Diceros bicornis minor: one gene and its partners. The protein of the gene in region 2 interacts with the protein of the main gene of each other region in a pairwise test. Links are inferred from orthologs where the notes say so. Each region holds a gene or a part of one and is shown on either strand. Other genes may lie near its edges.

What was found.
Region 1: the proteins of PHF1 (region 2) and PDLIM7 interact in binary tests that used the Homo sapiens proteins (3 or more experiments, as listed by UniProt). The two-hybrid records come from large-scale screens. The link is inferred for Diceros bicornis minor from reciprocal best matches to the Homo sapiens genes PHF1 and PDLIM7.
Region 3: the proteins of PHF1 (region 2) and HSD17B14 interact in binary tests that used the Homo sapiens proteins (3 or more experiments, as listed by UniProt). The two-hybrid records come from large-scale screens. The link is inferred for Diceros bicornis minor from reciprocal best matches to the Homo sapiens genes PHF1 and HSD17B14.
Region 4: the proteins of PHF1 (region 2) and NAB2 interact in binary tests that used the Homo sapiens proteins (3 or more experiments, as listed by UniProt). The two-hybrid records come from large-scale screens. The link is inferred for Diceros bicornis minor from reciprocal best matches to the Homo sapiens genes PHF1 and NAB2.

What each region holds. Positions count from the first base shown.
Region 1 is NC_080740.1:90,709,105-90,716,265, reverse strand, and holds the start of PDLIM7 (PDZ and LIM domain protein 7), read left to right. Parts: upstream 1-4,153; 5' UTR 4,154-4,257; intron 4,258-5,191; 5' UTR 5,192-5,202; coding exon 5,203-5,298; intron 5,299-7,161. UniProt on the Homo sapiens protein: May function as a scaffold on which the coordinated assembly of proteins can occur. May play a role as an adapter that, via its PDZ domain, localizes LIM-binding proteins to actin filaments of both skeletal muscle and nonmuscle tissues.
Region 2 is NC_080753.1:31,079,172-31,086,344, forward strand, and holds the start of PHF1 (PHD finger protein 1), read right to left. Parts: upstream 3,007-7,173; 5' UTR 2,529-3,006; intron 2,506-2,528; exon of another isoform or gene 2,275-2,505; 5' UTR 2,254-2,274; coding exon 2,181-2,253; intron 1,797-2,180; coding exon 1,621-1,796; intron 1,529-1,620; coding exon 1,447-1,528; intron 1,338-1,446; coding exon 1,242-1,337; intron 783-1,241; coding exon 682-782; intron 579-681; coding exon 430-578; intron 253-429; coding exon 157-252; intron 1-156. Other genes in the region: kinesin-like protein KIFC1, read right to left, coding at 3,971-4,015, 6,796-6,871, 7,016-7,089. UniProt on the Homo sapiens protein: Polycomb group (PcG) that specifically binds histone H3 trimethylated at 'Lys-36' (H3K36me3) and recruits the PRC2 complex. Involved in DNA damage response and is recruited at double-strand breaks (DSBs).
Region 3 is NC_080773.1:24,435,800-24,443,319, forward strand, and holds the start of HSD17B14 (17-beta-hydroxysteroid dehydrogenase 14), read right to left. Parts: upstream 3,001-7,520; 5' UTR 2,916-3,000; coding exon 2,828-2,915; intron 2,348-2,827; coding exon 2,309-2,347; intron 2,092-2,308; coding exon 2,009-2,091; intron 1,404-2,008; coding exon 1,337-1,403; intron 1-1,336. Other genes in the region: PLEKHA4 (pleckstrin homology domain-containing family A member 4), read right to left, coding at 3,424-3,686, 3,995-4,107, 4,529-4,587, 5,500-5,661. UniProt on the Homo sapiens protein: Catalyzes the NAD(+)-dependent oxidation of L-fucose, yielding L-fucono-1,5-lactone, which rapidly converts spontaneously to L-fucone-1,4-lactone. Can also act on D-arabinose and L-galactose, with lower catalytic efficiency. Does not use NADPH.
Region 4 is NC_080756.1:11,804,220-11,812,121, reverse strand, and holds the start of NAB2 (NGFI-A-binding protein 2), read left to right. Parts: upstream 1-4,888; 5' UTR 4,889-5,100; coding exon 5,101-5,177; intron 5,178-6,619; coding exon 6,620-7,493; intron 7,494-7,902. UniProt on the Homo sapiens protein: Acts as a transcriptional repressor for zinc finger transcription factors EGR1 and EGR2. Isoform 2 lacks repression ability.

The DNA of each region.
Region 1 (7,161 bases), on a different chromosome or scaffold from region 2:
CAGAGGCCCACACTGGGGACATTCACATCACCAGGCTGATTGCGTTGTCTTTAGCAATGTGATCTCAGACCTCAAATCGGCAGGCCTTCTACGCTGCCCAGAGATCCTGTGTCCCAGAATGGCTGTTTTTCTCCTCTCCGAGACCTCCACACCTTCTCCTCTCCATCCCTGCCCAGTCTCAGCTTGCAGATATCCTGGAGAAACAGCAGCCGACAGAGGTGAACACCACCCCCCCCAAACCTCCCACCACCTCCTCTACAAGTGCACCTGCATCTGCACTGCCTCCTTCCTGCCCTACAATGGAAGAAGTATCTTTTCCCCAACATGTGTCTGATCCCAGCTCCTCTCACCACCTAACAGCTTGGCAAACTGAGCTGCCCATCTCCTCGACCCATTAATTCCATCATCGTCATTTCCAGCCACAAACAAACATGCTCTGTAATTTTACATCTTTAAAAGAAACTTTCCCTTGACCTCACATTCTCCTTCAGCCACCTCCCCATTTCTCTGTTCCTCTTCACAGTGAAACTCCTCAAAAGAGTTGTTGATTACTCTCATTTCCACTTTCTCATCTCCCATTCTCCCTTCCACCAACTCCAGACTCCTGTTGGTCCCCCCACTTCATTGCATTGCTCTTATCACAGTCACCAACCTCCCTGTTGCCCAAAACAAAAGCAACCTGGACTCCCCTTGTGAGCTGGACTCCCCAACTTCTCAGCAGCATTCGACACCCCTCCTTGATACGCTGTCTTCACTTGGTTTTCCTCCTCCCTCCTGAGCCCCTCCTTCCCAGCCTTTGCTGTCTCCTCCTCTGCCAGAGTCCTGCCCTGGGCTCCAGCCTCACAGTGTAGCTTAACGCTGGCTGCACACAGAATCACCCAGGAGACTTTAAAAAATGCCTGCACCTGGGCACACCCACAGGCTCACATTTCATCAGTCCTGGCAGGCCCCGGGCATCAGTTTGTCCGATTCCCTGAGTGATTGTAGTGTGCATCCAAGGCTGAGAACTACTGCCCTAAGTGAGCCAGTCCTGTCTCCAGGTCTCACTGGTCATTTAAATGCTGGTGGCTAGGGGCCGGCCCAGTGGCGTAGTGTTTAAGTTCGTGCTCTCTGCTTTGGTGGCCCAGGGGTCGAAGGTTGGAATCCCGGGAGCAGAACGACTCACTGCTCATCAAGCCACGCTGTGGCAGCGTCCCATATACAAAATAGAGGAAGACAGGCACAGATGTTAGCTCAGGGCCAGTCTTCCTCACCAAAAAAAGAAAAGAAAAGAAAAGACAAAAGAAATGCTGATGGCTCCCAAAGGTATATCTTCAGTGCAGACCTCTCCCTTGAGCTCCAGATTTAAGAATCCAACTGCACACTAGACTTCTGGCTGTCTAAAAGGCATCTCCAAATGTAACGTCTGAAGGGACGCTGGGGGGTTCTGTGCAGTGCTGCCCCAGAGTGTCTGTGGCCACAGAGGGCAAAGCTCAGGACATTGGAGCGATGGGGAGGCAGATTTCAGACCCACTTACGGAAGCTCCTCCTGATGGGTAAAATCTTCCCATGATCCATCAGGCTGCCTGCCATAGAGCCAGCTGAGGCCAGAAGGTTCCCAGTCAGGGTGCCTGCGGCAGGGACCCCTCTGCCCCACAGCTCAGCAAATCCGAGGACACACTGGAGGTTACCCAGAGAGTCAGGGTCATGACCAGAACTAGAACCCAGGACTCTGGGTCCCTGGTCAGGCATGCTTCCCTTCACTACAAATCTAAGCCTCTTTGTTTCATGCAATTTCTGTGAGGTTCCAATCAGACTGGGAAAGAGAAAGTCCTTGGAAACCTCCAGGACTCTAGGGGCCTGGCCCTGGAGCTGTAGCTGTCCTGGCCGCCGGGGGGCACTGTGTCCTAGCCTGGGGCAACCCAGGGGCTGCCTATACAGGGAGCTCTTGTGGCTCCATCCAGGCCTGAGCCTTGCACAGGCCAAGGAATGCGGTCACAGGGTCCTCTCTGCTGGAGGACTGCCAGGACCCCCAGCTGCCACTTCTTCCTTTGCTCACGTGCTGTGTCACTTTCTTCCTTCATCTGCTCATTCACATCTGCTGTGTGCAGACACTGGGGAAATGTTGGTGGACGAGACAGACAAGTCCCTGCTCTCATGGGAGTGAGTTTCCAAAGGGGGAAAAGGCAATAAAGAAACAAACACTTGATATAATATCAGATGGTTGTAAGTGCTATGGGGAAAAATAAAGCAGGGTAAGGGACTAGTACTTGATGCTGGCAAGGTGTCAAGGGACTCCTGTTTTAGATAGGTGGCCAGAGAAGATCCCTTGGAGGAGGCGACAGCTGAGCAGAGACCTGAACAAAGTGAGAGAGCCTGTTGCTTAGACATCTGGGTGAAAGTGCTTCAAGCAGAAGGAGCCACAAGTGCAAAGGCCCTGAGGCAGGAATATGTTTGACATGTTGGAGGAACAGTGAGGAGGCCAGAGTGGCTGGAGTGCAGTGAGCAAGGAGGAGAGTGGTGGGAGGTAGAGTCAGTTTATTAGTGGCATATACATCTTGAGGACTTTAGTTTTAAGTACAATGTGAGCCTACCGGAATGCTAAAAGCTGAGGGTGATGTGGTATGATTTCTGCTTTAAAAATATCATTTTGGCTGCTGCATGGTGAAGACTCTGGAGTGGGCAAGCATGGAAGCAGGGAGCTCTATTAGGAGACTGTTAAGATGTCCAGACACGAGATAAGTGGCAGGGACAATGACGGCAGCAGTGACCAGATGTGGAACATATTCTGAGGGTGGGAATTGCAGAATCTGGGGTATGACAGAGAAGAGAAAGGAAGGATAACTTCATAGTTTTTACTGGACCAGGTGGATGAATGGTGGTGCTGTTTACTGAGGCGGTGAAGGAGCAGCCAGTGGGGCAGGAGGAGGCATGAAGCCAGCGGAAGAGGGAATGCCCCTGGACCGGTAAGACAAAGCTGAGAAACCGCCATTGATTCGATAACCTGGAGGCATCAAAGACCTTGAGAAAAGGGAATTAATTCAGAGGACTGGTGGGGATGAGAGCCTGACTGGAGTGAGTTCAAGAAAGAACGAGAGGAAAGCAAGCGGAGACAGGGCGATAGACAACTCCTTCCAGGGATTTTACTCTCGAGGGGAGTAGAATAAAAGAGCAATAGCTGGAGAGGGAGGTGGGGTCAAGAGAGATGTCTCTAAAGATGAGAACTCTCTCAGCAGTTTGTGTAGTGAGGGGAATGATGCAGAAGAGGGGAAGCGTGATGATGGAGCAGGGAGGGCAGCCGCGGCCACGCCCTAGAAGCAGCTGAGAGGTGGACGTCGATTCATTCCCGTCCCTGCTCAACTTCCCCCGCCGGCTGAGCTAGCCGCCGGGGCTGAGCACTGGGGGCCAAGCGGGGACTCGGACACCCTCGCTAGAGTCTCCCGTTGCGCCTCCACTAGCGGCGCTACCCCCTCTGGAGTCGGGTACCAGAACACAGCCCATCTCGACAGTGTGGGGTCGCTGAGACGGGGTCGCAAGGCAGCGGGATGCTGACTGCCTGGGGTCACGGGGTGGGAGGGAGGCCAGGGCCCACAGTTCAGGCCGAGCCCAGGGCCCCCTCCACCTCCGTCCGCTCCTGCCCTTATTTTCTGCCGTCAGTAGAGTGTTCTGCAAACCTGTTCCCACCTCAACTAATCCCACCTCGATGTGTCTCCTCCCACCAAGTTTCTTCGATTTAGAAATTCTGGAGCCGCGGATGCCTGCGCCTTACGCCAAAGAATGCCTATCCTCACGGCGGCCCTGCAAGGCCAGTATTATTGTCCCATTTTTCCGGGGAGGAAACTAATGTTCAGAGACAACTAATGCCCAGATCTGTTTGATTTCGAAGGCTGCCTTCTTTTCACTCGGCCAGCGGGAGGCGCAAGGCGTTGGCCGAGCGGCTGGCTGGGCTCCCAGACGCGGCATCCCGCAGCCCAGGCCCCGCCCCAGCCCCGCGCCAGCCCCGCGCCACCAAGGGGCCCGGGGCGGGCCGTGCCTTCCAGCTCAAAGCGAGACGGGATTTCGTGATTGGGCGGGGAGGGAGGATTGGGTGGGGCTTCCCACTGACGGACCGGCCGCTCGCGGGCGTGTCCTCGATGGGGGCGTGGCCTGGGGCACCGCCCCCTTCAGCGGGCTCAAAGCGGACGGCAGCCACGGGGGAGGGGTCAGAACACGAGCGGCTGAGCCCGACACCGCCTTTGGGAGACCGCTGCGGAGCAGCGCCTCGGCGGGGCCGAGCAGGTACAGGCGACAGCGCGGGGCGTCTCGGGCTGGGCCAGGCGGGGGGCAGAGGCCTGCTGGGGACCGCAGAGGGCTTTAGGGGTCGTGGCCAGCGCTGCGCTTCCTCCCTCGGGCCCGGGCCCCCGCCCCCGCCTTCCTGCGACGAAGCCGGCAGCGGCGGGACCGATTGGCGCCTGCGCCGCTTCCTGCGCTCGGGACTCGGCCAATGCATGGGGCCCGGGCGGGGGACCAGGGGGAAACTGAGTCACGTCGGAGTGGCATCACCCCCACTGGGCTCCAGGATGAATCCCCCTCCTGGCCACGCTTTGGGGTCCAGCCCCCACCGATTTCCGCAGAGCCTGCACCCCTGCCCGGTCCCCCTCAGCGCCCAGGGGTCCCGCCCTGGTTCCCAGCAGCCTCGACCGGTCCTGGAATGGCTAGGACTCGCTCCAGCCGCCTCCCTCCCCACCCCTCCCCCTCGCGTCCCGAGCCCCCGTGTGCTCCCTCCGCTGACTCTCCGCACAGTGTCAGCTTACACGCCTTATATAGTCCTAGCAGGCTCCAGCTGCGGCCTGCCTGCCGGGACCTGGGGGCGGGGGAGAGGAGTGCCGGCCCCTGACTCACCCCACCGCCATCCGAGGCTCAAGGCTGGCTTAGGGGGAGGCCGTGCCAAATTAGCCCTGCGGCCCACTCCTGGATGAAAAGAACCTCAAGACTGGATGCGGGCTCCCCTCACCCTCCCAGTCCCTGGGGGAGGAGGGTTGCCCCTGTCTTTCCAAAGTGAGGCCTGCCAGCCAGCAGCCCAGCCAGACCTGACAAGGTGCCCGCCTGCAGATGCCCTGGGTGTGCTAAGCGTCTGCTTGTGCCTGCGTGGCACCAGTCCAAGGCTGGTGTCCAGAGCTGGGCCTGCCTGCACACTCACTATGCTGGCCACTCACCTTCTCTCTCCTCTCAGGAACGGACACCATGGATTCCTTCAAGGTGGTGCTGGATGGCCCAGCACCTTGGGGCTTCCGGTTGCAGGGGGGCAAGGACTTCAATGTGCCCCTGTCCATCTCCCGGGTGAGCCTAGGTTGGGGGAGGGGCTCCCCCAGGAGTCTTTGGGTGCTCAGGTTTCCAGTGGGTGATGGGAGGAGTCTGAGCAGGAGGGAGCCAGGGCCAAGAGTCCAGGAGGTGTCCAGGTCCAGAGATGTGGTGGTCACCTGCCACAAGGACTCCTAACTAGGTGGATACTGGGAAAGAAGTCCTCATACTTCCCCAGCACTGCACTATACCTGATGCCATTCCATGAAGCTCCTGGGGCCACCTCTGAGGCCTGAGGGATGTCCATTCTGCAGGAGGGGAGCCTGAGATCTCCAGGAAGTGTCTAGGCCCTTGAGGGAGCAATGCTTGGAGCCAGCCCCCAGGCAGGACACTCAGACTGCAGGATCTCACTTCACCCTCACTGCCACCCAGGGAATAGCAGTTGTCATCCTGTTTTTCCAGATGAGGGAGCTCAGGACTGAGAGAGGTGGAGGCGCTCCTCCAGCAATTCCATGACAAAGCAGGGATTGGGATTCAGGCACTGGGATGGCCTGCAGTTTTCGTGGTTAGGAGAGTGAGGAGGGTCTCTTTCCAGCCTGTGCGAGGACCTGCATCCCCCACTGGTCCCATTCAGGATACAGTGGCCTTTGACCCCAAGCAGGGGTGTGGGACAGGTCTCTAGGGCTGTGACTCCTAAGATCCTGCCCTGGTTGGGGGGGGCTCCTGGGTGGAGCTAAGGGCTGGCTCCTCCCTGTGGCAGGGGGATTGCCTTATAAGCCCAAGAATGCAGCCCCATGCTGGGATGGCCATCTGCTGGCTGGAGTCTGCAGAGCCGAAAAAGGCTGGTCTAGGCCGGGACCCCTGAACTGCATTGGTGGGCCCCTCAGCTGGTGACCACCAGGCCATAGCTCCAGCTGTAGGGTCAGTTGTGGGACATAGACAACAAACTGCCTGCCCAGAGAGGGTGAGGGCTGGTGTCTCTGACTGTGGCCTAGGAGTCAGTGTGGGGTGGGGACTTCCTGTCCCCACATCTGCCTGTGCAGAGAGGCCCACCCGGGTGCCTGGTGGGCAGGCGGCTGTTGGCAGGAAGCCCAGGGCAGGCACAGCCTGGAGGGGGCCAGAAGGTTGTCCAGGCACTGCCCAGCCTGAGAGGGGCCCCAAGGCGGAGTCTGCGGGAGTTGGGCTTGGTGGCCAGGGCAGGCAGGCGGTCACTGATCTTCCCAGGGACCTTTCCATGGGGTTCCCCTGGAAACTACCCTGCCAGCAGGTCTCCCTACAACACACACACCCAGCCCTTACGGTCCTGATGCCTTGCCAGCCCAGAAAACCTATCCTGAATCCCCCTCCCTGGAAAGTGCTGGCCAGTGTGGCTGGGGAGTCGCAGGCCTTGGCTGGCCTCTGAGACTGTTTCTTCATTGGTGGGGATGGGCAACATAGTGAGCTTGGGGGATGGACTTTCAGCTGTGGCCTGTTGGGGGCACTCTGGGCCACGCCTTGCTTGTCAGCAGCCCCAGTGTGTGGGTGGGGTGGTGAGCTGAGCCCAGCCCTGGAGTTGGACCTAGGCCCTGGTGGGTGGGCTGATGGGGTGGTCTTTTCTGAGCTGGGCCAGCCCCCTCTGTCTCCCCTGACCCCGGCATGGAGAGAGGAGGGAGGGGCTCCCAGGACTGGCTGTGGGCCCAGGCCTGGGAGATGAGGTAACGTCTGGGACTTGGGGGTTGGGCTGCTCGGTGGAGCCCTCAGGCTGACTCACCCCCACCCCATGCAATGTCCAGCCCCCTGGCTCTTCACCTCCTTCGTACTTAGGGCCTCCCTGCTTCTCTCTCCAGCCACCCTTCTGCCCCCTACCCCCGAGTTCTCTCCTGCTTCTTTCTCTACCTCTCTGAGCACTCTCCCATCCCTCCT
Region 2 (7,173 bases):
CACAGGAAAACTGTACCATGCTACGGAGGACTCACAAGCAAGGATGGGGCGAACAGGTGGGGGAAAGCTTCAGAGGTTGGGAAGAGAAGGGATCTGAGAGGGTGGAGCAGAGCAGGAGGGCTCCCTCGGCTCCTGGAGAGTCTGCCCTGGTCTCACCTGTCCCCATAGAGGAGGGGCTTGCTCAGACACTGGGTGCAGGCCTCGTGGAACCATTGCAGGCAGCTCCGGCACTGTAGCATTTTCAGGTTCCACCTGAAGGGGAGCCAGGACTAATGACCTCCAGACACTTCCCCCCTTAACTGACCCAAACCACCTACTTTCATCCCCTTCAGCACTCCCCTTGCCTTGTTTTTTATCCTTCACTTCCTGGGATTCCCCCCACCACCACATCACACTCATTCCTTAACCCCCCCGCCCCTCATAACTCACTCCCCAGGGCCACCACAGTAACAGTAGCTCTGTTGCCGGTTGCTCAGATGTCCAGCGTCCCAGTCCAGCCCCTTTAGTCCGTATGGCAGAGAGAGCTTCATGCCCAGCATGGCACGGGCATAGGGGCCCTTCTTCAGTGCACCACCCCTCTGCAGAGACAGAACAGGCACGCCAGGCACCTCAGAGGAGTGGGGACAGGAAAGGCTTGGGAGAGGATGTGGGTGGCAGGCTCCCACAGGAAGGTGCCTTTACCTTGGTGGCGATGGCAAAGACACACTGGCGGCAGACCCAGGATGTGCCCTCTCCCTCTCCAGGGGCTGGGGCCCTTGGAACATGGCAGTCCTGGTGATAAGCTGAATAATGATAATATTGATGGTTGACCACTTATTGCAACTGGTATGTGCATGTGTATGCAACCTGTGTGTGCAAGGTATTGGAACAGGAAGTCTTATCCATCTCATTTAATCCTTGACCATGGTCCTGCTGGGGTGGGTGTATTGCCCTTATTTTACAGGTAAGGGAACTGAGGCTCCTAGAAGTTTAGGGACTTGCCCAAGGTCATATGACTAGAAAAGAGTGTATTTGAACCACCCTCTGCACACAAAGCTCACACATCCCCATTCCATGGCTGCCTCTTGCTGTGCTAGAAAGGAATGAGCTTACAGGGTTGAGGAGACTGGCAAGAGCAGTGGCAGTAGCCGGGGGACTCAGGCCAGGACAGGTGGCATAAGGACCAGTGCTGGAGGGAGGAGTCAGAAGTAGCCTGGAAGGCCCAGGGCAAGCTGGACAATTCAGGTGTCCTGCCCTCTCACCGTGGCGACACTTCTCACAGCTGACCAGCCGGTTCCCAGGGACCACGGTCTCAGAGCGACAGACACAGCAGAGGAGTTCCTCCCCAGGGAGAGCAGCTGTGAAGGAACACAGTGTCAATGGGCCTGTGCTTGAGCCCCTTGCTGTCCCCCAAGCCAGTTTTCTGTTTTCTGTGGGATGTACACTCTGAGGCCTTGGGGATCTCACCAGGGCTAATATCTTTCCATAGAACCAGAAACTGAGAATCATCCTCAAACTGGACCAGACACACCTCCCGAACGCTGTCCACCTGGAATGGGTGAGCACAGAGGATGAAACAGGAATCAGAAGTAGATAAGGGGAATGGGGAAAAGGAAACAGGTCAGAGGTCAAAGGTCTTACCTTCTTGATGGTCCCCAAGTATAGAAGCCCATCTGTCCATCTGGCCAGCACATCTTGACCCTCCCAAAGTCGAGGCCTGGGGCCTGAGGTGGGAGCAGGGGAAGCTGGATCCCAAAGAGGGAGGGCACCAGAGCGGCTCAGCCGGGGGGGCTGTGCCATTGCATCCTGGGGGGGGCCTAGCCAGAAGTGGGATGGGAGGAGGAGGAGGTTATGAATGCTGAGAGACTGGCCCCATTTTGTTTGCCTATGTTTCTTTCAAGGTCTCAGGCGGCTGTGCCCCCAGTCTCTAAATCCCTGAGACATCTGGATAGGAAACCTCTCGGCACCCCTCCCAAGCTTCTTGACTCTAGTTCTCCCAACTCTAGTGACTGGCTCTCCTTTCCCTAACCAGCCCCCCAACCTAGTTGTCTAGTTTCCCAGCTTCCAGAGCTCCCCTGGGATATTATATCCTGGCCTGAGATTTCAGCAGAAACGATGGTTGCAGAAGCAAAGGTTACCACTCAGTTTCTACTGTCACCTTCTCTTGCTGTTGAGAGGTATCATAATTGGGGTGCTGTTACCCAGAGATGTGTTTTGGGAGCTTTTCGGGAGATGTTTTCCAGAGTAGAAACAGCTGCCTCCCGGGGCCGGCATGTCTCATTCAGAACAATCATCCTGGTGCCAGGTTACATCAGGTCACCCTCAAATTCGGGGCTCCCTGCCCCCGGGTTAGATAAGTTCCCTGAGTGCCCCGGGAGGGGGGCGTGTCCCAGTCCCGGTCTCTACTCCCCATGACGGCGAGTCCGAGAGGGGACTTGAGTCGGCCCAGCCGGACCCGATGCCAGAGCGGCGAGGCTCTCCCGCCCGCGCCCTGCGCGCCGACCCCCGGCTCCCTGCCCCCCCACGGGCGCCTCCCGCCGCCTCCTTACCAGTGACAGCTGGGGCCGCCGAGAGCCGGGCAGTGGCAGACGTGGGAGACCGAGGCGAACCCCCCGCGCGAGGAGGGCACGTCTGGGCGTCGGGGGGCGTGCAGGCAGAGGCCGGGGGGTCCCCAGGCCCAGCCCCTCCGTCCCGGCGGCTCTGGGGCGTATGACGCAGCAGCCAAAGCAGCGGCAGCGGCAGGAGGAGGCGGCGGGGGAAAGGAGGGGAGAGGAGGGGAGGGACAAACCGGCTCGGGGGGAGGGTGGTGGGAGGGGAGGACTGGGGGGAAGGAGGAGCCGGGAGGGGGGGCGGAGAGGCGGGCACCACCTCACCCCACCTCCCTCACCTCCAACAGGCCTGGAGGGCGCCGAGCAAGCGGCGGCCTCTCCGCAGCTGAGCCGGGCGGACGGTCGGACCCCGCGGGAGAGGGAATCCCCGCAGCCCCTTCCTCCGAAGGGAGACCCGCCCTCGGGGCAGGAGGGAATCCCCCCTCCCGGCAACCCGCCTTCGGACTGGCCCCCGCCCCATGCCACATCCGTTAACTGCCCCCCCCACCTCCACGGTCACTCCAAGCCCCGCCCCTCGGCCCCAGTTCACGACCCCGCCCTCCAGTCACCCTTCCCATTGCCCCCGCCACGCCCTCCTCCATCCGTTGCCCCCGGCCCCGCCCTCCCCGTGGCAAGTTGTCCCCCCGCCACTGCCGCGCTTCTGCGCACGCGTGACCCCTCCCGCGCGCGGCACCTGGGAGCACTGAGCCCCTCCTTCATGGGGCGGCGGCCGTTGGCGGTTGGCGCGAGGGATTCGGCGGGCGTGCGTCCCGCCCCGCGCTTCCAGGGCGGGGGCACGGACCAGGAGGTTCGTACCGAGGCGGTGACGCCACCTAGAGCCAGCCAATGGGCAGCGGGCGGGGCCGGCCCTGGCCGTTCGAACGGGAAGGCAGGGAAAGGGCGGGAGAAAAGAGCCAGCAGTTTGTGGGAGGGCGCGCCGGTCCCGCCCCTGGGCTCGGGTGCCCACCTTCCCACAGCTACCGCAGGAGCATTCCTGCCCGGGGCTGGCGTGGCCCGTGCAAGGGGGAGCCCCAACTAGTGACTGTGGATGGCTAGCGGGCACATATCCTGGATGTGGACGACGGGGGAGGGCATGGGAGCTGAAGGCCACCCAGACTCCAGGGGACGGCATGTCAGGGAGAAAAGCCAAGCCCTCGCTCGGCAAAACACAAATGCTTGGCCGACTGGCCAGACCCATAGTTCTCATCTTTACAGATAAGAAAAATATCTCCCTTCTTGGGCAACAGCTAATACAACCTTTATTTTTAAAAAAACAACAAAAAACTGTTCTTTATTTGATAGGCCCAGGTAACACAGCGCCCCCTCCCAACGAAGCATCCCTCAGCCTCCCACTCCGTCCCCGCCCCCCCCCCCCGCCCCCCACAGAGGATCTGGATCTGTCTTCATTTCCTGTTGGCCTGGGCAGTACCAATAACACACTGGTTCACCTGTGGGCAGGTTTAGACAGGATAAAAAAATTTTCAGAGTAACCAAAAGAATAGTTTTCCCAAGATCACCTCCCAACCCACACTATTAGGGCTGCCCTCAGAGAATACTGAAATAACAGCTCTGAAGGCAGGTTCGGGCTGGTCTCAGTTACAGTGAGTTCTGTGCCCACTAGGCACACCAGATCTGGAAGAGGTGAAAAGGCCTGAGAAGGGATGGCAGCCCCACACAACAGCAGAGAGGAGCTTCCATTTCTAGAGATACTGTGGACTAGAGACCCCAAAGCCCTCCCACTACTAATGCTTAATATGCTAGATAAAGCAATAACAACACTCATTTAGGAACCAAGGCTCCTTGGAAAATGAATGATTCCAAGTCTAGGGCAGGAAATGTACAAGATGAATCTGGAACAAAGATTACTGGGAACTTGTCTAAAGGACACAGGAGCCAACTTGAAGGAGCTCCCACTGGCCAAAGATGCAACAATTTGAGCATCAGAAAGAACAACTGCAAAGGATATCTATCAAATACACAAGCATCTGTAAAATGATACCCCCAGATAAAAATTCACTGGTTACCTTTGGAAGTTGCCAGGATATCAACTTAACATACTGAAAATTGATAAAGAATCCAGCATTTATCCTGCCTTTCTTCTAGGGACTGAGTTTCAGAATAACCAGATAGATAGCAAGGGGAAGTTCTTTAGAGAAGAATTATGACTAATAAATATAGAACAATTTGAAAATCACCATTTTAAAACTTACTAATGAAATAACAGATCTAGGTATGATCATTGTTTGATAAAACCACTAGGTGAAAAAGTCAATAGGGAGTTTTAAAATGGACAGATCAGACTGACAACACCAAAATCCAATGATCCATTTTTCTATCATTAAAACTGGAACAACTAGATATTAGGTGCCTCCTGATATGATGCAATAGAAAGTGTACCACACCATCTAACTTTTCTTGCCAAAAAATCTGAGCCTGATTCAAATCTAATCAAGCCTCTAAATCTAACTACCAGATAACAAAAATTATGGAGAAAAAAGGAAGCAATAAACCAAAATCCAGAATGTAGTATATTGTATAGGACAAATGACCCTATTTCTTCAACAAATAAATGCCAAAAAGGGGGTGCAGTTTCTATAGACTTAAATTTCTTTTAGAGACAATTTCAACCAAATGAAAGGGGTAGCCCTTGCTTAAATCCTGATTGGAACAAACCTAATGTATAAAAGAGATAATCAGGTGAAATTTAACATAAACTGGGTATTAGAAGATATTAAAGAGTTCAAGTTGTTGGGTATTCATGATGTTGATATAACTTTATTGAACTTGCAAGACAGCACGGGAAATCCTGATCAAAGCACAAGACCAGGGCAGGTGCTGAGGCGGCTGACTATGTCCATGGCAGCAACCGGGGCTGAAGCCCAAGAGCAGCAGGGCTCACCATCAGAGACCCTAGGTAAAGCCAGGACCCATCGTAGGGCTGTACTCTCAGGAAAACGAGTAAACAGAGGAAAAAATGACCCTCCAGAGGCAGACGGTAAAGAAACTTTCTGACTTAACTCTAGTGGAGGGGAGCATAAGTCTCCTAGAGATTAATGGCCATGGCCACAGCCAACCCTCATGGGGTTTGGAGCCTGAATTGACACTATTTGGAATGGTCTGAAAAACCTTTAAGTCTCCTTTGATCCAGCAATCCCATTTCAAGGAATCTCCCCCTAGATAGTTAGATGCAACTAAACAAATACAGAATGACATATGTACAAGATTAGTCAATACGGCCTTGCCTGTAACAGAAAAAAGGTGGAAACAATCGAAGTGTCCAGTGGAGGGAACTGGTGGATAAACTTTGGTGCATCCACACAATGGAGTCCCAGGCAGACATAAGAATAATGGGATGATCTCTGTGTGCTGGTGGGGAGTAATCCTGGGGCTGTCTTGTTAAGCAAAATGCAGCGCGGAACAACATATATATGAGACAGAGAGGATGAGGGATGTCTTTTATATAAGAAGGAGAGGAATAAGCACATGCATATTGCTTGTAGTTGCAAAAAGAAACATTGGAAGGATAAGTAAAATGATAAATGATAAAAATGACTCCCTCTCCTAGGACAGGAAGGGAAGATGGGGTGGAAGCAGTGGTGGTAAAACTTCATTTGTTGTGTATAGCTTTCTATATAGTTTTGACCTTCCTTTTAACGACCTATTTTTAAAAACTTAATTAAAAATCCCCAAAAGCCAATACATAAAAAATGGATCCAAGCAACTAGAAGGATGTGCAGCTATGACATACAGCTATCTACTGGGGCTTTGTGGGGAAAAACAAATAAATAAATAAAATTATTAAAAAAAAAAAAATGGGGGGCCGGCCTGGTGGCGCAAGCGGTTGAGTGCGCGCGCTCCGCTGCGGCGGCCCGGGGTTCGCTGGTTCGGATCCCGGGCGCGCACCGACGCACTGCTTGGTAGGCCATGCTGTGGCGGCGTCCCATATAAAGTGGAGGAGGATGGGCACGGATGTTAGCCCAGGGCCGTCTTCCTCAGCAAAAAAGGAGGAGGATTGGCGGATGTTAGCTCAGGGCTGATCTCCTCACAAAAAAAAAAAAAAAAAAAAAAAAAAAAAATGGATCCAGGTGGGTAGTGCCTCAGATGCCTGGCAAATATAAATCCTTTCTGGATGAATGTGCCTCCTGGCCTAGAGGACAGAAGGGGTCAAGATGGAGAAGCCTTACAATGCAGGGGTCCTGACAGGGCCTGGGCTTGCTGGTAAACGCACCTTGGAGGCAAAGCGTAGGGAGTTGAGGGACTCGGAGACATTCTCTTCTAGGGGGGAAATGTTCACAAACATGAGCCTGTGGAGAGAGGAAAGGGGGCCGAACCCCAGGATCAGCGGCTGGGCGGAGCCTAGACCAGGTCTCCACTGTTTCCCCTTTCCCACCCCTGACCCCAACATCACAGTTCCCACCTGACCCCTTCCGCGTGTCTCTATCACTCACATCTTAGCACTGCCACCCAGAGAGTTCTGCAGCAAGTAGGTGAGCTTGCTGTTCCGGTAAGGTATGTGGGACTCCTAGAGGATTGAGGGGGACAGATGATTAGGAGAGGACAGGGTTCAGCATGGCCAGCCCCAACCTATCACCAGGTTCCAGCTGCC
Region 3 (7,520 bases), on a different chromosome or scaffold from region 2:
AGCCCCAGTAGATAGTTGTATGTCATAGTTGCACATCCTTCTAGTTGCTGTATGTGGGACGTGGCCTCAGCATGGCCGGAGAAGCGGTGCGTCTGTGCGCGCCCGGGATCTGAACTGGGGCCGCCAGTAGCAGAGCGCGCGCACTTAACTGCTAAGCCACGGGGCCACCCCAATAAAATAATTTTTTAAAACATGCAGCCCAGAGAGGGTGAGCCACTTGCTCAAAGTTGCCCAGCCAACAAAGCAGGCTTCTTTCTACCACGGCCTTGCTGTGTGACCTCCATGCAATCAGTTCACCTCTCTGAGCCTCAGTTCACCACCATGAGACATTCTTATGAAGGGCCGTCATCAAGCTGATGGCAATTTCCCCTGGAAGCCACCACACCAAGCCCTATAAACCATGCACCGTGAGGACATCTTCACAGCCATCGGCAAAGAGAAGGGCCATGGCCTCGCTTCACAGATAAGCAAAGTGAGGCTACAAGATGGAAGCTGTTTGCCCGAGATTGTACGATAATTATGCAGCTGATGAATAAATGAAAAGCAATACGGAAAGTACATACATATTGAGGGATATGAGGAAGCCATTTGGTTTAAAACTAATTCGGCCTGACTTTGTTTTTCCAGAATGGTCTGGTGTGCCCTGTCGAACATGCATTGTGCATCTGTTTTAAACGTTTACAACGTCCCAAGCAAAGAACGCTGCCTTTAAAGATAGGGATGTAGGCCTCCCCCCACATCAGCATTTCTTTAAAGATAAGTATTTCCTTCCAGAAACTAAGGTCACAGGGACCTGCCATGCTAGCAAAACATCTCGTGACTGTAGTAAAAGAGATATTCCTGTTATACGTGGCGTCTGTTCCTTGTTCCAAGTCAGTATATAACTACACTGTACACCCCGATGCTTCGGAGGGCTTCCTTCCTTGGGGAAGGTTTCCTCCCAGGCTATATGGTCCTCAGATTAGCTCATGTAATCAACTCACCCCAATCTTGATTTATAGATTGATTATTGATTATTTGTGTTGACAATGCTGAGTAGTTTCCCTTATTCAGTATCCACAACAACCCTATATGATGATCATGGTCATTCCCATTTTAAAGATGCAGAAACTGAGGCACAGTGAGGTGAGGGCACAGGTCTGGGGGCACACAGCAGGGAACGGACAGAGCCGGGATTTAAGCCCAGGCATGGAGGATTCCATAGCAGTCCTGTCCTGTCTAAGGGGACAGAGGGGGAGGGGGCAGAGACAGGGAAACTGAGGCAAGGGAGGAAGGCGGGGGAAGCCAGGAGGCGTGTGGACCTCAGTGGGAAGGGCCCTCAGGCTTCACAACTCACGGTAGCCGGCGTTGTTGACCACACAATCCAAGCGGCCAAAACGGCGGATGGTCTCAGAGATGAGGGTCTGAGGAGAAAGACGGGTCGTGAGGGAGCAGTGTTGGCCCCGGGCCTTGGGGAGCCCGGGCGCCCAAAAGCAAGGCGTGGAGGTGGACGCTGGAGTCACAGTTGAGGGAACAGGAGCTGGAGGAAGTGAGGGACCCTCCCCACAAATCACCAGGCATGGCAGGAGAAGAGGAGACAGGGAGCCGGGGAAGGTGGGGGCTAGATACTAGATCGACACTGATTGAAGGGAAGGGACAGAAACCCTGAGATGGGCGAGGGAAAACTCTTACAGGAGGAGACCCGCTGTGATAGATTTTTTTGTTCTAATCCTCACGACAGAGTGGCAAGAGTCTTGAAGAAGTAGGAGATAAAGGAGAACTTTCCCAGGAGACACAGGACCTGGCCAGCAGAATCAAGGAGAGCCTTGAAACAATACTGAGCTGGTCCCAGTACAATTTAGCCAGGAGAAGAGGGAAAGGTAGAGGGAACAGCATGTGCAAAAGCCTAGAAGAGAAACGAGAGAGAGAGAGAGAGAGAGAGAGAGAGAGAGAGAGAGAGAGAGAGAGAGAGAGAGAGAGAGAGAGAGAAACTGCTGGAGATCCGGAGTAGGGACCGAAAAATACTCACCCTTATGTCTTCCTCCTGAGTCACGTCACAGAGGAGAAAGACAGTTCCAGGAAGCTCCCGCTCCAGGGCCCGGCCCCCAGACTCTGCAGAGAGAGAGAAGGGCTGGGGGTCCGGACTCCCAGATCGGAAGGAGGGGGCTGGGGGCCCGGACTCCCGGGTCTGGGGGAAGAGGGAGTTGGGGGCCTCCCCGACTCCTGGGTCTGAGGGGCCCGGACTCCCGGTGCTGGGGGAGAAGGGGCTAGGGGTCCGGACTCCCGGGTCTCGGGGAGGAGGGGCTGGGGGTGAGGGACCAACACTTACCATCTTTGTCGCAGATAATCACTTGGGCCCCGCTTTGCACTGAGAACAGAACAGGTTACCCCAGCACAGACCTTGGCGAAGCCTCTGCTGCCCTCTTGTGGCCACCTGGAGTGGGGACTATCTCCCTCCCTGCTCCCTCTGACCCCAAAGTCTCGTGATGATCCCCTAGGTCAAAGGGCAGAGGCCTTGACACATATTCTTCTTGGCTGCTCCAGGTGCCTGCTGCGGCTCCCGAGCCCCCACCCCTGGGATCCAGAGCAAATTCTAAACCTGCAAGAGCCATTCACCCCTTTTGTAGCTATAACTGAAACTCAGAAAGGAAGTAACAGCGTTTGGGTGACACGCCAAGACCTCAGGCCCTAGGCTACCCCTGCCAATCCCTTCGTTAGCATTACAATTGGCTTTTATACGATAAGAATCTTGACTCCGGTACTGAAGACCCTTCTTCCCACATCCATTAGCCCACGGGGTCCCTCCTCTCCCAGACTCCAATATTTCGAGCAGCCAGACCCCTCTCACCGAACGATCGCACGATCCCGGCTCCGATGCCGCGCCCGCCCCCGGTTACAACGACCACCTTCCCGGCATAGCGCGTTCCCGTGGCCATTCTGCCTCAGTCCGTGTCTCCCACTGTCACTCACTCTGCCCCTCTTTCCACCTCCCAAGTCCCGGGAGGCCGAACCATAAATAGAGGCTGGATCCTGGAAGCCCGGCCCTGGGGGGCGTTGCCAGAAAGACCAGAAGCCTGGAAGTTTGGCCCCAGCCCCTCCTCCCTCAGACCCGGGAATCTAGGTCTCCAGCCCCTCCTTCCTCAGATCTACAAGTCTGAGGTCCCTGTCCCTTCCTCCCTCGGGACCCAGGAGTCCAGACTCCAGCTCCGCCCCTCAGAGACCCCACAACAGACACAAAGAAAGCTATTGACTAAAAGTTCAAAGTTTTAATCCGAATTTGGACAAGTGTTGGGAAAACCAAACTCTGGCCACCGAAACCACTCGCCGGCAGGCCACCGGAGGGGACTAGATCACGCCCCCCGGTGCCCTGAGTGGCTCCAGATCTCGGGGCGGTACATCCAGGCCACGCCCCCACGCTCCGATTGGCTGCCGCGTTTGGGCGTGTCAGAAGCTGGACTGCAGCAGAGTAACTCGCAGAGGCCACGCCCCCTCATCTTGCGTCAGGGCGGGAGGGGCGGCCCCAGGATCCCACGAGGACTCCCAGGAGGCGGGGCCTGCGCCGCGCCCACTACCTCGGCGGGAGAACCCGGTGGAGCGGGAATTGGCCAGTGGAGGAGATCTTGGGGCCGAGGACACCTGGGGCGTGGGGTCTGACGGAGGCGGCGGCGCAGGGGGAACAGGGTCTCCTCGGGAGTCCAAATTTCCCCCTGGAGAGGACGATTGGGGAATGAGAATGGCAAACCTTGGGATTCGGGAGTCCAGACCCCCAGACTTTTCCTCCTTCAGACCCAGGAGTCCCGACCTCTCAGTACCCTCCTCCAGACCCAGTAGCCCTAGATCCCGATCTCCTCCCGCCTGGGATCTAGAATTTCCAAGCCCCGTCTAGCTCTTTCCTCATCAAGACAAAGGATTCCCAGCCGCCCTCAGACCCCTCCCCACCAGGACCTAGGATTCCAGGCCTCTGGCTCCCTCTTCTCTAAAACCCAGGAGCCCAAAGTCCCCAGCCCCTCCTCACCTATCATCATTCTGTGCCACTGCGATGCCTCAGTAGCCAGGGCTTGAGAGAGGCTGAGGACTCGCTCCCGGTGACCTTCGGATGTTGGCAAATAAGGGGTGGTGTTCCTTGGACTAGAAAAAAAGAGATTTGGGGGACGTATACAATTATCCAGTACAGAGAGGACCTCCGTGCTGCGCGTGTCCTTCTGGGAGTTGTAGTCCCTAGCACGTGTCTCTAAAGGTCTTTAAACATGGCGCGGCCCTCATAAAAAGCACGCGTGCATTATGGGATTTGTAGTCCAGTCGCTCTTAGACTTCACCGGTTTTCCAGACGGAGGAGCGGAGTGTGATATCTACCCAGTTTTGCAGTTTTGGAAACTGCAGTTCTCACTGCGGATCTAGGGCTTTCTGATGGCCCAGGAACTCAAGCGTCTCCAACAGGTTCTGCGACCTGCACTTCAGTACTCAGGAGACATTAATAATAGTGCTACTATTCCCTTCCCCTTTGGCAAATGGATTTCCCTGCTCCTGGCCGCGCCCTCCTGTTCCCTACCTGCTCCAGGACCCGGAGCTTCTGAGCCATTTCGGGGCTCCTGAGTGTCCTGGGACAGGCTGCAAAGGAATTGGGGCATTAGAATTCCTCACTTGGAAGTCCCCACGTTCTCATTTTGAGGGTGAAATGAAGGGGGCTCAGAGAGGGGATAAAATTGCCCCCGGAGACACTGACAATGTGTAACTTTACATGCGCTCCTGGAAAACAGGTTAAGATCCCGCCCCACCCCTCCACTCCCCAACACACACGCAAGCTTGTGTGTTCTGGGAAACGGCTTACTACAAGAACCCTTCTTCTCCATATGTCTTAGATAAGACTCAGATGACACCCCGCACCCCTTGTTTACCTATGACAAGGCCAGAAACAGGCCCTCCAAACTCACATTCTCTACCTCACAAATGATTAGCTGAACTGTTTGTCTCCCCAAAACTAGGTAGACACAGAGATAAACGGTTGGTGTTCAGCTGACAGAGACGCCCCCCGATTACAAAAACAATCCCAATCTTGAATCACCCCACCTATGATTTGTCTAATTCCTTCCTAGAAAAGTCTAAGATGAAACCATCCCACCAAGACACTCTGATCTTAAGATCTGGGGTGCTCTCCCCCACTGCAATAGCATGAATAAAATCGATTTCCTTACTTGCTCAAAAAAAATTATTTTTGCCTTTGATAACACTGGGCTTCCAGTCCAGACCTATGACCTCCACGCTGAAGGGAGAATGCTGATGAGGTGGAGATGTTGTCTCTGCCCCACCCCCTACCACACCCCACTTCCATTCCCCACGGCTAGGGGAGCCAGAGTGCTGATTTCAGCTCAAGTAAAAGTTGGGGCAAATCTGGAAACCCAGTTCTGGGTAAGGAAGTAGGGAACATCCCCATTTTACAGAGAGGGAAACTGAGGCTCTAACTAGGAGCAGAAGACCCGCTACCACCCCATCGCCCCACCTCGCACCCCTAGTTCCCCTCACCCTTTGTTCCGTGTCAGGCTGGCGTCTGGCTGGGGACAGTGTCCTCCTCAGGGTGAGGAGCCGAGGGGAAGCCGGGCGAGGGAGCGGCCGTCCACACTCCTGGTTTCTGCGTATCCTCTCCAACTGCTCCTGAGCACTCATCCGCGGCCGGGGCACGGGAGCCTGGGGAGATGAGAAACACCTCGAGACCCCAACCTTGGGCCTCCACGTTATCTCTTCCCTGAACCTCTCTGTCTCCAGTCTTGCCCTCTCTAGAAAGTTCTCCACTGGACCTCAGAGGAATCTTTCTGCACCCAGAATTATGCTGCTCTCATCCTCTTACGGCCATCAAGCACCCTCAGGACTACGGTGTTTGAGGTCCTGTGTGGCCTATTCCCTACCCACCTCTCAGGCCTCAACCCCATCAGCCACCCTATTTGAACCCAAAGCCCCAGCCTAACAAACACCCACACTCCCCTAGATATATGAAGCTTCTTCACACTAGTAGTCAGGACCCTGGGTTGCTTGTGTTGGGGATCAGAATTTGCGATGCCAAAATGTGTCTCTTTGGCTTGATTATTTTTTTTTTTTGAGGAAGATTAGCCCTGAGCTAACATCTGTTGCCAATCCTCCTCTTTTTTTGTTTTTTTGTTTTTGCTGAGGAAGATTGGCCCTGGGCTAACATCTGTGCCCATCCTCCTCTACTTTATATGGGACGCTGCCACAGCATGGCTTGACAAGCCGCGTAGGTCTGCCCCCAGGGATCCAAACCTGCAAAACCCAGGCCACCAAAGCAGAGCGCTCAAACTCAAACTCTACCCGCTGGCTTGATTATTTTTTAATAAAAAAAGACTCAAAACGAAACTATGACTTTCCCCTAACTGCCTAAAAAAGGAAGGCCTGTCCCAGGACAGGCCACGACCACAGATAACTCTGGGTATGGTAGACTGGGAGGGTCCTTGCTAAGCCCATTTTTATCAAAGTTCTCTCCCTTGGGTCTCATTGTCTATAGATGGCCCAGCAAACATTTGTTTACCAAACATTTGCCTTTCCATCTCCATGTAAATTGCCTTCTTCCCCTTTGAGGTCCCAAACCACTACCCCCAACATCCTCCTTTGTCCTTAGCTGAAAATGGTATTTAAGGTAGTGGTTCCCTCATTTTGGCAAGTTACTCAGTTTTCCTGGGTTTCTGCCACGTATTCATGTTATTAAACTTTGTTTGGTTTTCTCCTGTTATTCTGTCTCACATCAGTTTAATTCTTAGATGAGCCAGAAGGACCTAGAGGGTAGAGGAATAGTTCTCCTTCCCCCACACGTGTGATGAAAGACAATTTTAACAACAAAAGGAGGAATGAGATGTAGTAACTAAACTGTTGAGAGGATCAGTTTGGGTTGGCCTGAGAGAGGACTTGATGAGCTCTGTCTTGCCCTCAAAACCCGAGAGAAGACACACCCAGGAGGAACACCCTGTGACAATTGGAGCTTTGCTGCCACAAGCCAGGGAACTACCGGAAGCCAGGAGAAAGGCCCAGAACAGATCCTTCCCTGGCACCTTCAGAGGGAGTATGGCCCTGCTGACACCCAGATCATGGACTTCTAGCCTTAAGCACTTAAAACGAAGGAGGACAAAGATAAATCAAAGAAAATATCGTTCACCAAAAGGAAACCAGAACTTGAAGATTTGGAAAATTCTCAGCCTATCCAGATTGCAAAAAATGAGAGAGAATGCTCTGGAAAGAACGCCAAGGGTGTGGCTGGACAACCTGTTTGCTAAGAGATTAGGCATGTGACATGTGGATCCTATAAATCATCTCAGCAGAAATGCTGCCAGCTTGAACTGAAGGGGACAGACAGGGGACGAAATGAAGGAAGGCTGTCAGATTTCTAGGATGCTACAGGCAGGAAACGGGCCGATAGGGCTATCTGGCTGCACACATCTGTTATCCTTCAGGAAAGGGGGCAATTTGGACACAGACATGTACACAGGGAGGACACCACATGACGAATGGAGTTATGCTTCCACTAGTCAAGGGAATACCAG
Region 4 (7,902 bases), on a different chromosome or scaffold from region 2:
TGATGAGTAAATAGGGTGGGAAATCTGGATATAAATGTTTCAGAATTTTTTTGGATTTTAGAAACATATACGGTGCATATACATATACAATACATAAGGCAACAGTCCCAGTGGGGTCTGGGACAGCAACCGTAATCAAACAAATTAATATTTCTGCAATGAGATATATGAATATTCACATTGGGATAAACAAAAGTGGGATAAATGAAACTATAAATAATGAAAGTTTAGGAGGTCTGCCACAAAATAAGTTCAGGTCAGATTAGGTTTTGTTGTCAAATGAGTTATGAAAAACTTTTGGTTTTCATTCGTTTTAATTTAGGAAAAGGATTACAGATGGTGAATATTTAATGAAGACACTCCATGTACTCAGTCACTCAAGCTAGAAGTCCAGGAGTCACCCTAAGCTCTTCTCTTCCCCCAACCCCTCAGCCAATCATCACGTCCTATTGATTTTACTTTCTGACTACCTTTTGAATCTATCCTCTCCTCTCCATCCCATGCCAGACATTTAGTCTAGCACCTTGCCATATCTCACTTGGGCCACTTTAGTTTCCTTCAAGCTGGCCTCCCTGCTGTTTTTTGCAGCCATAAACCCCTTCCTCCACACTATAGTAAATGCAGACCTGGCCATGTCACTCCCAGGTTATAAAGCCTTTATGGTTCCCCAAAAATCTCCTGTGATGAAGTCCAAGGTCTTTAGTATGATCTAAAACATAGATGTAAAGAAACAACTACAACAGCGCTATTCAAAGTTTATTACCAATCTGCAATGAAACAATTTCAGAAATTTAAGTGTAAACATTTAGAAACTTTTACAGCAATTTGACAAAAATATTTATTGAATCTAATAAAAATAGGGATTTTATTTCATTGTTCGATAATTCACTTTTAGTGTATTTTATAGAAGTATAGACTATAGACTGGAAATTTTTTTTAATTGGTCCTTTCTTATAGTTTGAGAAGCACTAGTCTATAATATCCTTAATTCAATGGCCTTGTCCACTTCCCTGGGCTCGTTTTTAACTACTGCCACCCCCCATCCAGCAATAATGAACAATTTCTAGTTTCTCAAAGATATCGTTCTGTTTCATACCTCCATGTAAGTTTATATTCTGCTGACTTGACTGTCCCTTCCTCCTGGAAATCTCCTATCCATACTCCAAAATCCTAGGCTGCAACATTACAGTCCCTCACAACCCCGTACAGAAGACATCACTTGTCCCCTATACTTCGGTCAGTGTTTGTACCCTTATTATTGTCCTACGTTGTAATTATTTGTTTATATGTCTATCTCCCCTACTAGTCTATGAGTTCCTTAAAGGCAGAAGTTAGGATTATCAGTCTTTGAGGGGTGAAGCATCACCCCTTGTAAAATGACTAAATTGAATGACAATGTTCCTTAGATTATAATTCTTACATGTTACTAAAAGAGGAAAAAAGGATCATTACTTTATATTCATATATTTCTGTTTCTAGCAAGGATTTCAGCCGTCTACCTTTAGTACCTGAGTATGAATTAATTTATCAGAAGAGTGGACATTTTAGAAGGGCAAGGAGCCAGACCTGTGAGACTGGAAACTTGAAGAAGGAAGGAGGCATGGAAAAATACCTCCACTTACACAGTTTTGCCCAGGTTCAGCCCCTTTTGAGTAAAATCTGTCAATTGCCCTTTTCAAAGTTGCTCAGGCCTGGAAATAGCATCATCAACTCATTAATTTCAGAGGGCCCACGAGACACCAGACCTACCCTGGAGAGGTCCTGGGCTGAGGGCGAAACAAGCAACTATGCGTTATTGAAATGTGTACAAAGAACCGTGAGGCAACTGAAGGATGGGAGCAATTAATTCTGCCTAGAGGGGTGCAGGCAGCACAGCGTGCAGGCAGGAGAGGGTCCAGGAAGGTGATATTGGAGCCAGAGCTTGCTGAGTGAGCTGGATTAGGCCTGGTGAAAACCTGGGGGGGGTGCGGGGGGGGGGGGTGAGCAGTGCAATCTGCTAGATGAAAAGCTACCCGTGCCTAGGAATCACAATCCTTCTGGTTAGCAGTTTCCTCACTCCTCTTCCACCCACTTTCTTCACAATCTTTTCCCCTGTTCTTGGAAAACTGGGACTCAGGATACTGTTTCCCTTCCTGGAAGAGACCAGTGTAGGCAATAAACCTTTGATGAAACGGATCCGTTGCTCTGCTCTGCGTGCCCCTGACCTCACTGAGGTGGGCGGACAGCAGGTGAGTCTCCTAAGAAAGTGGTCCTAACCTATACTGGAGGGAATGGGAACCATGAAGAAAAGGAGAGGAAATTAAGATTTTTGTATTCGTCCCACCCCTACTGTCATCCCCCCACCCCGCCCCCAACCTGTCTCTTATCTTTGTGTTTTTCTACAGTTTCTCATGGTCTCCGTGTCTTCGTCTCAGTCTCTCTCCATTTGCTAAAAGCTGGAAATTCCTTGTTCTCAACGGAAGGGAGTAGGAGGGGACTTGGGGGTGGTAGGAGTGGGAGGGAAGCGAAGAACAGACATCTCAGCAGCTGCGGGGGCGCTCTCGGCCTCTGGCGGGGCTTGACAAGTCAATGATTTTTTAAATGTATGTATTTTTAAATCCACACATAGGAGCTCACATACAAACCTAAAGCAAGACGGAGACACAGATACACAAGTAGATTTAAAGACATATAAATACATAATCTCAGGGTACAGAGGCACAAACTGGCAATAGCGTCTTCAATTTGCTTAGAATTTTCCAATTTACAGAGTTTTCGTATACATCCTCTCATCTGAACCTCAACCCTGAGAAACAGGGATACAAACACTAGGGAGTTTCACTCACACACACAGGTTCGCACTCAGAAAAATCCCTTCTGACTCCCCTAGGGGAGTGGGCAGAAACAGTCCGCGGGATTTTTCTCCCCTCTTCCCTCTCTGGCCGAATACCCGCCCTAGAACCGAGGAGTGGAAGCCCCAGAATCGGCCCCTCCCTCGTCATCTTTCCTGGGCCGGGACCCAGGCGCTCGGCGCCTAGTTGGTTACCGCCCCCCTGCTTCACGCCCTACTCCGCCCTCTTCCCGGGCCTGCGTCTCTCTCCGGACCCAGGGGCTCAGCGCTGCCCCACGGGGGTCTGGGTGGGAGGGAGGGGGGCGCCTGGAGCACAGGCTGCGTGGGCGAAGGATGTGCGTCACGGGGAGCGTGGGCAGGAGGAGGGAGGAGGCACGTGGAAACCCGGGCCAGCGGCTGGCAACCCAGGCTCCAAAATAACCAGAGGGGAGTGGGGGAGGGGGTGCCCACACATATCGGAGGGGATCTGGGAGTGAGCCCGTCTAGCCGTGCCCTCCAGTTGGACAACAGGGGATTGAAAGGGGGCACTCGGCGCGTTCCTATCACCCTCCACTGTGCTTGAGGCTTAATGGGATGGAGAAGAGAATCTTAGCTACCTAAATCCCCCTATGTGGTGCACCCGTCCCCGCCCCCCCCCCCCCCGTGACGGAAAGGTCCCCTCGCCCGGCTGGAATGTAGAACCAGCCCCGCCCACGCCACCCACGCCCTGCCGGGCCCGGGCCACTCAGACGTGCGGAATGGCGGGGCGGGGCTGGGGTGTCGGACTTGGGGGAACCTTGCTTCTGGCCAGTCCGCTCGCTTCCAGTCGGCCCTCTCCCCCACCTCCTTTCCCCGGGGCCTAAAGCCACTGGGACGGGCCCTCAGAGCCCCCGCCTGTCCCCACCCTCTAGCCCTCCCAGCCGTGGGCGGGAGTGTAATGGGAACCAGATGGGGCTAGGAGAAACAAAGGGGGGAGGGGTAGTGGGTGGCGGCGACGGGGGGCGCGGTGGCCAGGCTCCTTGAAGGAGCGCCTCCCTCCAACTCCTCCGTATGGAGCCACGTCGGACGCTCCCGGCCTCCTGCCCATCGTCCACTAGACTCTCTCGGGCAAAGTCCCCTAATAAGACGTCCCCAAAAGGGGAGCCTCCTTATCCCAGCTTTCCCACACAGAATTCCCCAGGAGCAGGTCCCCACTCTCAGCAAATAGGGTGCGACGAGTAGAGGAAGGCGGATACCCCTCCCATCCCTGCCTGGCCTAATCGCTAACAAACCCCGACGCGCCTCATCAGCGTGCGTCTAAGTGGTAGCTTTTAGCATAACCCGCCCAATCCTGTTCCCCGAACTTCGGCGTGGACTCGAGGCAGAGATGGAGGCGGCCTGGATTTCCGAGAACTGGCCTTTCCAAACTATTCTTTTTGGGGCTGGGATATCTGAGGGATTCCCGCAGAGCCCCACGCTCACAGACCAGCCATAAGTGCCCACTCTATGGGAGTCAGATGCACGCACGGGAGGAGCCGCGCACCCGTCTCCGCCAACTTTTCCCGGCTCACTCCTAACATTCCCACGTACAGCCCGCGAGGCCTGAGTATGGGCAGCGGGCGTCCGCGTAGTTGTTGATGCGCGTGTGCACGTCCGTGCGCTTCTCTGTGTCTTTGTGTACCTGTGCGTGGTTGTGAAACTCCACTTGGAGGGGTAGGGGTGGTGGGGGGAGTAGGAATGTCGCCGGCTGGGCGCTCACGTGGTTACGTGGGCGCGGAGAGGGCCGGCTGTGCATCCGGCGTGGGCGGCACGGAGCGACCTCGCCCCGCCCGCTGGGTCCCCAAGCCCGCCTTCCACAGCCTGGCCTCGTTCACCCCAGTCCCCAACTCGGCGCCCCGGCTCCGCGTCCCCGCCCCCGCCTCCTGCTCCACACCCCCTCCCCCCAGTCTCCGCCTCTCGCCGTCTCAGCCGCGGCGTCTCCCCGGCCGGCCGAGAGGCCCGGGCGCCCGCCCCCCGCCCCCGGCCCCCGCCCCCGGCTCTGCCCACGCCCTCCGCCCGCCCGGCAGCCAGCGCAGCGCCGGGCCTCGCTCCCCGTGCGTCCTGCGGGGGCGGAGGCGCGGAGAGGCGGCAAGCGCAGCCGGGGAGGGGGGGGCAGAGGCACAGACAGAGGCGCGGAGGCTCGCAGAGAGGAGACGTGGAGGCAGGGACGGAGCCCGGACAGCGGTGGACACGGCATCGCGCGCCGGGAGGAGCGCAGCGCGCACCAGGCGCCGGGCACCGAGAGGGGCGGCCCCGGTGGTCTCCAGCCTTCCATGCACAGAGCGCCCTCCCCCGCAGCCGAGCCAGGCGGAGGGGACAGCGCCCGCCGGACCCCGCAGCCCAGACTCAAGTTAGTGGGCAAAGGGAGACGGCGGAGAGTGGAGATGGGTGGAGCTGGACTCGGGAAAGGGGTCTGGAGGGCGGAGGTCGAGGAGAGGACCAGGGGAAGCGGGACGGGGGTGGGAGGTGGAGACTGATGGAAAAGGGGGTGCGTCTTCGAATTCGGGGCCCTGGGAGCAGGCAGGGATCTGATGAAGCTGGATATGAAAGAATAGTACCTCATTCTCCATCCCCCGTTTACTCTGTGGGTATGACCTAGCATGTGAGCTGAGCCCCCTGCAAAGAACGTGGGGGCTCCCCAGCGCCAGGGGAAGCCCTGGAGCTCTAGCTGGCAGCAGTGCCGGGGAGGGCCACTCAGCTGGCTCAGTCTGTCGTTGGCACGGAGCGCGCGGGCCGGGGTCCGGGAGAAGCCGGCGCCTCTGAGCCAAGAGAGCATCAGCGGGGCCGTGGAGAAGCAGGGGATGCCTTAGGTGTTCCTTCCCATTTCTGTGCGTTTATTTGCAGCCTGGGGAGGGGAGTTTCGGTCTGCAGCCCCTCCCGCAGTAAGTTTTGAGCCATTCCCCCACTCCACTTGAAAATGCAGATGGAAAATGAAGAGAGGAGGGTGGGCGGGAGCCCCCGGGCGGTTTTCGCCCACAGACGCCAACACCGTGGGAGTGAGTGTGGGCAGAACGGGCCCCAGAGCAGAACAATTGAGGCACTCCTCCCCTCCCCCGGGCGGAGCTCCACTGAGCAGGTGGGGAAGGTCACTGCTGGGAGAAGGGCCAACTGAGGGGCACTGGGCAGTCTGGAAGGGAGGGGCGAGGTCCCCAGGGAGAGAGCAAGAGTGCGCTAAGAATGCCTAATTCGTGAGAAAAGCTGAGGGGAGGGGAGCAGGGGTGCACCCTCACTGAGTGGGAAAGGGCAGAGAAAGGGCCACACACCCCCCTTTCAACCACAGGGTCAGGATGCCACCAGAGAGTGAAGCTGGCCAGCAGTGGTCCCAGGTGTCCACTGTGGAGAGGACAGGGGTCCTGCATTCACCTTAGTGTGGGACGTCACCTTGAGTAAGGTTGAGACTGCTGGGTGTTGAGCGTGGAAGATGAGAACTATGTTCTGCAGGAGAGTGCGGTCCAGCCTTCACAGGGGTGTGCTGGCTGGCCTCAGGGCTCAAGGTCTCCTTGCCCCAGGCCAGAAAAGTAAAAGCTGAGGATGGGGATCAAGAGCCTTTGATTTCTGCAGAGACTGGGCCGGTTTTTGGTCCTTCTGGCCAGTCGGATGGCACTGGCACGTCTGTGCCTCTGGGCAGTGCCTGATTCTCAGACTGCTCAGGCCTGGGCGCTGGGCAGAGACAGCATTCAAGAGAGAGGGCAGAGAAGCAGGCAGGAAAGAGGATAATTGTGAGTGTGGGTTGGTACGGAGCAGGGGGCCTTGCACTGACTGCCCCCCCCTTCTTGTGCACCTCCTTCTCAGGCCCAGTGCCCGAGCCATGGCACTGCCTCGGACGCTGGGGGAGCTGCAGCTGTACCGGGTTCTGCAGCGCGCCAATCTGCTTTCCTACTACGAGACCTTCATCCAGCAGGGAGGGGACGACGTGCAGCAACTGTGCGAGGCGGGTGAGGAGGAGTTCCTGGAGATCATGGCACTCGTGGGCATGGCCACCAAGCCCCTCCACGTTCGACGCTTGCAGAAGGCACTGAGAGAGTGGGCCACCAATCCAGGGCTCTTCAGCCAACCAGTGCCTGCTGTGCCTGTTTCCAGCATCCCACTCTTCAAGATCTCTGAGACTGCGGGCACCCGGAAAGGGAGCATGAGCAATGGGCACGGCAGCCCAGGAGAAAAGGCGGGCAGTGCCCGCAGTTTTAGTCCCAAGAGCCCCCTTGAACTTGGAGAGAAGCTGTCACCACTGCCTGGGGGACCTGGGGCAGGGGACCCCCGGATCTGGCCAGGCCGGAGCACCCCTGAGTCCGACGTTGGGGCGGGAGGCGAAGAGGAGGCTAGCTCACCCCCCTTCTCCCCACCTGCAGGGGGAGGAGTCCCTGAGGGGACTGGGGCTGGGGGGCTGGCAGCAGCTGGGGCTGGGGCTGGTCCAGATCGACTGGAGCCAGAGATGGTACGCATGGTGGTGGAGAGTGTGGAGAGGATCTTCCGGAGTTTCCCGAGGGGGGATGCTGGGGAGGTCACGTCCCTGCTGAAGCTGAACAAGAAGCTGGCGCGGAGCGTAGGGCACATCTTTGAGATGGACGACAATGACAGCCAGAAGGAGGAGGAAATCCGCAAGTACAGCATCATCTATGGCCGCTTCGACTCCAAGCGGCGCGAGGGCAAGCAGCTCAGCCTGCATGAGGTAAGGACCCCAGCCTGCCAGGATTGCCCTTAGCTCCCAGGCCTCAGTCTGCTCACTCTGAGAATCTTCACACTCCCCAAGTCCATTTCATTGTTCCTTGACCAGGACCCCAGGCTCTGATCCCCTCCCCCACACACCCCTTCCCCAGCCACTATAGTGCTGTCCTCTTCAGCTGAGGGGGAAGCAGAGACACAGACAGCAGCCCAGCTGTCCAGCTCCGTGCTGCTCAAGACCCCACAGGAGTCGAGGAGGCCCCTGGCATTCCTAGGAAGCTGTGGGTGCTGATCTCTTGTCTTTCTGCCTCACAAAGCTCCTGTGTAGTGTGAAAACCCAAGCTAGGATCTGATGGATGGGCCTCATTTGTCTGATGGTGAAGGGGTGTGAGGAGGTCTGAGCCAGGCAGTGGGGG